Linked DNA regions of Elephas maximus indicus. The main gene of each other region encodes a partner of the protein of the gene in region 2 in a complex. Links are inferred from orthologs where the notes say so. Each region holds a gene or a part of one and is shown on either strand. Other genes may lie near its edges.

The links. The genes of interacting proteins can lie anywhere in the genome.
Region 1: the proteins of KCNAB2 (region 2) and KCNA3 are in contact, whole or in part, in a cryo-EM structure (PDB 7EJ2), measured with the Homo sapiens proteins. The link is inferred for Elephas maximus indicus from reciprocal best matches to the Homo sapiens genes KCNAB2 and KCNA3. Residues at the interface, in NP_001186789.1 of Homo sapiens: Met196, Tyr199, Ser200, Arg203, Glu231, His234, Lys235, Ile236; in NP_002223.3 of Homo sapiens: Pro133, Met137, Phe140, Pro142, Leu143, Asn145, Tyr147.

Annotation. Positions count from the first base shown.
Region 1 is NC_064821.1:170,520,467-170,523,907, reverse strand, and holds KCNA3 (potassium voltage-gated channel subfamily A member 3), read right to left. Parts: upstream 2,603-3,441; 5' UTR 2,480-2,602; coding exon 743-2,479; 3' UTR 518-742; downstream 1-517.
Region 2 is NC_064821.1:45,216,602-45,220,347, reverse strand, and holds the start of KCNAB2 (voltage-gated potassium channel subunit beta-2), read right to left. Parts: upstream 2,625-3,746; 5' UTR 1-2,624.

The DNA of each region.
Region 1 (3,441 bases), about 130 Mb from region 2:
TTGGCTGGGACACAAGCAAGGAACTTCTTCGTGGGGATTAACTTTTAACCTAATACTTTCAAAATGCTTAACAAGCCAGGAAGAGTTAAACTAATTAGTCAGGTCAGGACATCTTGGGCATTTCCCTTTGTTCAAAGTTGCAGCGACCCTTAAAATTCCAGTAGGAGGAAGGTTCAAATAGAAATTCCAGTCAAAAACCAAATAAACTTATGGTGGGTTTACAAGTCATTGTTCTAATTAGACTTTCCATCCACATATCCACAGGGTAGGCAGTGAGTTAAATATTCAATAATGTCGGAGGGTCCACCCAACTGAAGCATCATTTGAGCACCTGTCTGCTGTACTCAGTAAAGAAAAACCACCTTTATATTTTGAGGTCAAACTGTTATCTAACTGCTCTTTAGTTTCATTTCCCCCCAGGATGTACTTTTTTTTTTTTTTTAATAGGGCGTGTACTAGAAATCAAGTTTAAGGTAACAGTTTGTTGTTTGCAATTTTAAGAGACAGGGAGAGAAAGAAAAAAAAAAAAAAAAGAGGGGAGCTGAGAGAATGCAGGCCACTCGCAAAACAGACCCTGTCTCAGTATGAAGCATTAGGGCGAGGGAGAATGAAGTGCGCCTTCCATGTCCCAGTGTTCTTGCCTTGATGAATGGTCCGGAAACGTATAAAACAAGGGTATACACAGACCAAGGGGGGCACATTCCACACAGTACTGAGCACAGTATGTCACTTATATCATCTATTAAACATCGGTGAATATTTTCTTGATGCTGACACAGGAGTTTGGGTTATTGTTCGTGGTGCAGGTGGCAGTGGAATTGCCGGTCTTGAAAGGGGTCTGGGGGAAGGCGCTATGGTTCATACCCCCCTCTTCGATCACCATATACTCCGACTTACTCAGAGTTGAGTTACTCCTTGCTTTTCGCAGCTCCTCGGCTGAAGAGGAGAGGTGCTGGCAACTCCCCACGTGCATGTACTGAGCTTGCTCTTCCCCTTCTGTCTCGCGGTGGTAGAAGTAATTGAAGTTGGAAACAATGACAGGAACTGGCAAAGCAATGGTCAAGACACCAGCGATGGCACACAGCGATCCCACAATCTTGCCCCCTATGGTCACTGGGTGCATGTCACCATAACCTACTGTTGTCATGGTTACCACTGCCCACCAGAAGGCGTCTGGGATACTGCTAAAACCCGAAGTGGGGTCGTCTGCCTCGGCAAAGTAGACCGCACTGGAAAAAAGGATGACCCCGATAAAGAGGAAGAAGATGAGCAGTCCCAACTCCCTCATGGAAGCCTTCAGCGTCTGCCCCAGGATCTGCAGCCCCTTGGAGTGGCGGGAGAGCTTGAAGATGCGGAAGACCCTCACCAGGCGGATGACCCTCAGGATGGCCAGGGACATGGCCTGCTGTCCATTGCCCTGTCGCTCAGCCAGCTCGGTGCCCAGAGTGATGAAATAAGGGATGATGGCCACGATGTCTATCAGGTTCATGATATTTCGAGAGAAGGTGGCTTTGCTGGGGCAAGCGAAGAAGCGCACCAGCAGCTCAAAGGAGAACCAGATGATGCACAGGGTCTCCACCACGAAGAAGGGATCCGAGAAGCTGGAGGCTCCCGCGGGGGCACCCGACGTACCGTTGCTGGCCGCCTGGAACAGGTCCTGGGACGGCGAGGCGAGGTAGTCCTCGTCGCGGAACTCGGGCAGCGTCTCCAAGCAGAAGATGACAATGGAGATGAGGATGACGAGCACGGACACGATGGCGATGCCCCGGGCCGGCCCGGAGCTCTCCGGGTACTCGAAGAGCAGCCACACCTGGCGCTGGAAGTCGCGGCGGGGCAGGGGCCGCTCCTCCTCCCGCAGGAAGCCCTCGTCCTCGCGGAACTTCTCCATGGCCTCCTCGCCCAGCTGGTAGAAGCGGATCTCCTCGGAGAAGATGTCGATGGGCACGTTGACCGGGCGGCGGATGCGGCCCCCGGACTGGTAGTAGTAGAGGATGGCGTCGAAGCTGGGCCGGTTGCGGTCGAAGAAGTACTCGTTGCGGAGCGGGTCGAAGTACCGCATGCGCCGCTTGGGGTCGCCCAGCAGCGTCTCCGGGAACTGGCACAGGGTCTTGAGCTGCGTCTCGAAGCGCAGCCCGGAGATGTTGATCACCACGCGCTCCCCGCAGCAGTCCTGCTCGCCGGAGGCCGGCAGCGCGGGCGCCAGCGGCTCGTAGCGGTCGCAGCCCCCGCCGCCGCCACCGCCACCGCCGCCGCCCTGGGGCGGGCCCCCGCCGCCGTCGGCCGCCTCCGGCTCCAGCAGGTGGTCCCCGGGCACCACGGTCATGTCCGGCGGCAGCTCGGCGCCGGCGGCGGGCTCGGCGTGGCCGGGGTTCCGCAGGGTGTGGGCGCCGCCGCCGCTCGCCGGCTGCTGGGGAGGGTGGGCGCAGTGGCGGGCGGAGGGCGGCGGCGGCGAGCGCAGGAGGCTGAGGTGCTCGTCCATGCGGCGGGGAAGCGGCGGCGGCGGGCCCGCGGCGCCCCTCCTCGCGCTCCCCGCCCCTCGGCCGCCTCCGCCCCCGAGCCCAGCCCGCCGCCTGTTGCTGCCGCTGCTGTCGCCGCGGCCGCCGCGAGGCTCAGTCTGCGTCTGGCGCGCTGGCCGGACTCCTCGGGAGAGACGCCTCCGCAGCCCTCCTCCTCGCTCCCCTCCGCCCCTTCCCCGCGGGCGCGCGCCCGCCCCTCCGCGTCCCCTCCGGATTCCCGCCCACCGCGCGGGCGCGCGCCCCGATCCCCGGGTACCGCCGGGAGCTGCCCTGCGCGCGGGCCCTCGCCGCCCCTCTGCCTTACGGAAGCGCCGCGTTTTGCACCTCGGTGGCCCCAGGCCCTGTCCGCGTGGCGGCGTCCCCGTCGCGGGGCGCTTCTCGGCCCATCCCGGGCCCACCCCTCGGCCCGCGGGCCAGGCGAGTTCTGCCCGCGACCCAGTGAATGCCCGGCCTCCTCGTCCTCCACGCTCCACCTGGGCCGGCACTGGGGAGGCGAGGCCGGCGGAGCCCAGGTGGCCGCGGCGGAGGGGGCCGAGGAGGAAGGACGCAGCGGATACGCACTCAGACCCGAGTGATGGCTAGGGAGGGAGAGAGGGAGTACCAGGCCAGGTGGGCGCCCTGGGGGAAGAGGCAAGCTTGGTGCCAGCACCCTGAGTTCACTTGAGGGTAGAACGCTGCCAGGCGAGGAGGTCTCTAAATAATTCATCTCCCGCTTGGATGAGAAGCCAAACCGAGTAATGGGTGCTGATGGGTTTCGCACCCGGAGTCTGAAGAAAATGGATCTTTAAAGGGGTTCAGGTACCTCGCTTCTAGTGTGAATAGCTCACATTAACTTTGTAGCTGAGATTTCAGCTACTGGGAAGAACCAAGGACCAAGTCTCTGGTTGGAACTGGCGACGGCAGCCTGGCCTTTTTAAGTACAGTG
Region 2 (3,746 bases):
GCCTGGAGGGCTGTCCTGCTGTGGGGCAGCTGAAGAGGCTCTGTAGTGGTGCTTGAGGGTGAGGGTGAGGGTGGAGAGCAAGGTCACCTTGGAGACACCCCAGGTGCACCCCCAACCCCCGCTTCCTCTGTGTGCTCTGGGGTCAGGTCTGACCCACTCTGCTTGGCAGGGGCAGGTGGTAGCGATGAGCTCTGTGAGCCTGGGGCTCTATAGAACAGGTGCTGACCACTGACTGCTCTGTCCACGTGTGCACTTCCATGTGGAGGGACGCCCCTGGAGCCTCATCATCCCCTTCATGGCCTAAAGACATTTCCATGCAAGGATCTGTCTGTAGGTCTCTCTTACTCCCTGGGTCATGCTGCTTGAGAGCTTGGGCTGTCCTATGTCTGCCGCCCAATCCCCTGGCTCACAGCAGTATGGAAGAGGGGCTCAGAAAGGATCCTAGGGAAACCAATGAGCAAGGGCATGCCCCTGGAGCCCCTTCAGGGTTCCATGAAGGCCCTGGACTACCCACCCTGGTTCAGCGCTGGACAGCGCCTGTCCCCACAGGTCAGTGTCTCTTTGGGGTAGGCTGCGCCAACACCTCGATCTGCCTGGACACCTTGGACACTGGGTACCCGGGACCATCACACATTTGCCCCCAGGCTCTCTACCCCACCCTGACATGCCACATCTCTTCCCTGCTGCAGCTTTCCACGGCCCCTCTTGTCATCTAACATTCTGGAGACATCTCTGACTCACTTGTTACATGGATTCCCCTGAAGGTCAGGCCCTCAGAGCAGGGACTCTTGTCCGAGAGCGAGCACAGAGCAGGGGCTTAGCTATGCGTCCAATAATCAGTGAAGGCGTGGGCATACAAAGGCCAACCAGGGGCTGTGATGGGCGCTTCCTTGGCAGGGCTGGATGGCACCGTGGGCTCTGGGCTGGCTCTCTGACGCACCTGGTGGTCTCTGAGCGTATCCCCTCCTGGGGAGGGGGGACTCCCAGCCCAGGATTTGCCCTTACCATGGCCCAGCCCCATGGGGCTCTGCAGGCCCCAGGACCTCTGGGCTCCCTCTGGGTTTGGGCTGAGGTCTTTGAAGGGCACTAAAAAAAAGTAGGCGAGGGTGCTCCTGCATGAAACCCGACCTTCCAGGCAGTAGAGGGGTACACGTTTGCTTTGGAAAGTGAAGCCATAGCACCCATAGGTGGCAGTACCAGCTCCTCTTCCCCATCCTCTGGCCGGCTAGGCCTCCCCACCCCCAAATCACAGGCCCTTCTGAGGGTGGCGGTAGGCCACCTGTCAGCCAGTGTGGGGCAGATGGAGGTAGACCTCCTTTCACAGACAGACCGCAGCCAGCTGCAGCTGTGGCTCTTACCGAAAAGCAGGACTTGCTCAGCACATATTTTCCATCCAGGCCCGGCCAGCTGGATCAATAGCCATTAGCTTTCAAGATGTTTCTCATAGAAAGCAGACAGGTCTGGTTGGCTCTGGACACACATCAGGGCCCCAGGGCTGGGTGGTGGCCTAGCGCCAGGTTCTGGGCAGGGACAGCCTGTTGCCTACTCACAATGTGACCCCAGCAGGCACCCTGGCCGACCTAGCCTCAGTCTGCCCATCTGTGAAGTGGGGATGAGCATAGGCTTACGGCATGAGGTGGCTGTGCGGCTGCAGGAGATGGGCTGCTGGGCAGTTAGGTGGGGGCTCGGGACATGGCTGGACACACCCTCATGGGAGGGCACTGGCAGTGAGACGGGGACACGACACCAGCTATGGTAAGTGTTGCAGAGAAAAAGGTATAGACAGGGCAGGTAGGGCTCTCTGTGGAGGTGACACTGGAGTGTGGGCTCGGATGATAGCAGTGAGCCGTGCAGGTAACAAACGTCACCAGAAAACGCTTCATAGGATGAGAAGGAGGTATTAGTAACTGCCCCCCTCGCAGACAACACTGTCCTAACGAGGTGGATCGTGGGCAAGTTTTGGGGATCTGGGTGGGGACAGAGCGGGAAGATCATGGCCTTGGCCACCTTCCTGGCCTCCTTGGCCAGGGCTAGAGGGGCACCTCTCTGTGGGGCCGTGGTCTGCCTGCTTCTGATCTTCCCTTATAACACAACTTGTGGACTGGGGAACGCATCTGTGGGCCAGGCCACCTGTGGCGTGGGTGAGGCAACTGGCAGTCTCCTGCCACAGGCACACACCTAGTCCAGGAGGACGTGTGAGGAGCAAGGAGCTGGCGGAGCCCTGGTGCCCAAAGGCGGGTCTGTAGGTCAGGAAGGCCAGGCCACGCTCATCCTCATGAGGTGCTTGGGGGAGGCCTGAATCTAGACAGAGGAGGAAGGGCGGGTGGGCGCAGAGGGCAGAAGGGGGACTCTTGATGGTCCCTAGCACGGCTGGGACCATCCCCTGGGTGAAAGTGGAACCCAGCTTCCCTGGATGCAGCTGCTCACCCTCTAAGGGTTTGTTCTCAGTTTCCCCTGCAGCTGATTCCAAAGGAGTCTGGATCATGAATGAAGGGCCCATGAGTAAAATCCTGCCAGGTAGAAGGGGGCCGCCCATCACTGGGGTGCCTACTTGGGCACTTTCACCTCCCTGGAGCTCAAAGGTGCAGAATCCTCATCTTTTCCAGAGCAGGGCTCTCCATCCACTCCCCTTTCCCCTCCCCGTCTCAAGACAAAGCAGACCCCGCCCCAGCAGCCTTTGCTGATGATACGGCCACTATGCGTCCTCTCCTCTGCCTGGCTTTGCCTTTTGCAAATCTATTCTTGTAGACTGGGGGGCTCGGGGGAGTTTCCATCAATTAATGGCACGACATGGAAAACTGAAAGGAAGATGTTAACATCATTAAGTCAGCGGGAAGAGCTCCTTCCCCTGAGTCTCGTACCTGGCATTTCTTAATCGTGGTCTGTTTACTGAAGGCCACCAAAGCATAAAACGTTGAGACCAAGGAGGGATTTGGAATACCTCTTTTCAAACCATGACATTTGTTAGCTATTAGAGAAATTAGTCAAGGTTTATCAAAGCGGAAATGGAGAGGGGAGCTGATCATTCTGGAACACGCGTGGCTCTGAGATTCACGGCATCACAGCAGTGCAAACACAAAATTACTTACGTTCAAGAACAATCAGCAAACCGAGGCCTAAACAGGCAGCCCCTGTCTCTCCCAGACATGTGCCTCCAGACAACTTCAGACAGCAATCAAACCCTGACAGCTCTCAGGAATATTTGAAAACGCTGAATTCTCGTCAGCAGTGAACCCCACAGGGTATATACAAGCTAGCCACCCATGGCTCTCATGGAAGAACACAAGCAGGAAAGCACCCGGCAGGGCTGGGAGGCAAGCAGCTCAAGCACAGGGCACTGACTACGGGTCATGCCAAGCGGAACCCACCATCCCGGTCTCCTCCCGCGCACATTCCCTCATGATTACCTACAGTCGGCTTGTTGAGGCTTTCTGCTCTGAGAAATGTAGCGGGTTTAATACCAGATCAGCTAAAAGCATCCCCCAAAAACATAGCCTCTGCTATTTTAGCTCCCAACACAGCTGCACCCAGGGGCAGCCCCTCTGAGCAGATGTCTGGGACGTCTGCTCCTGGAGCAAAAGGGGCCACTCACCTGCTGTCCTGGGCGTCTGCTCATTAAAAGGGACACAGCCTAGGTTATCAGGGTTCACCAGGCACTCTAAAACCCTCGCGCGGTGGTGTTTGCATTCGGGGAGTGTCGCTGCAGAACGTCAGAAGCAATTGGTGAATAAGCAGGGTCCCACAAG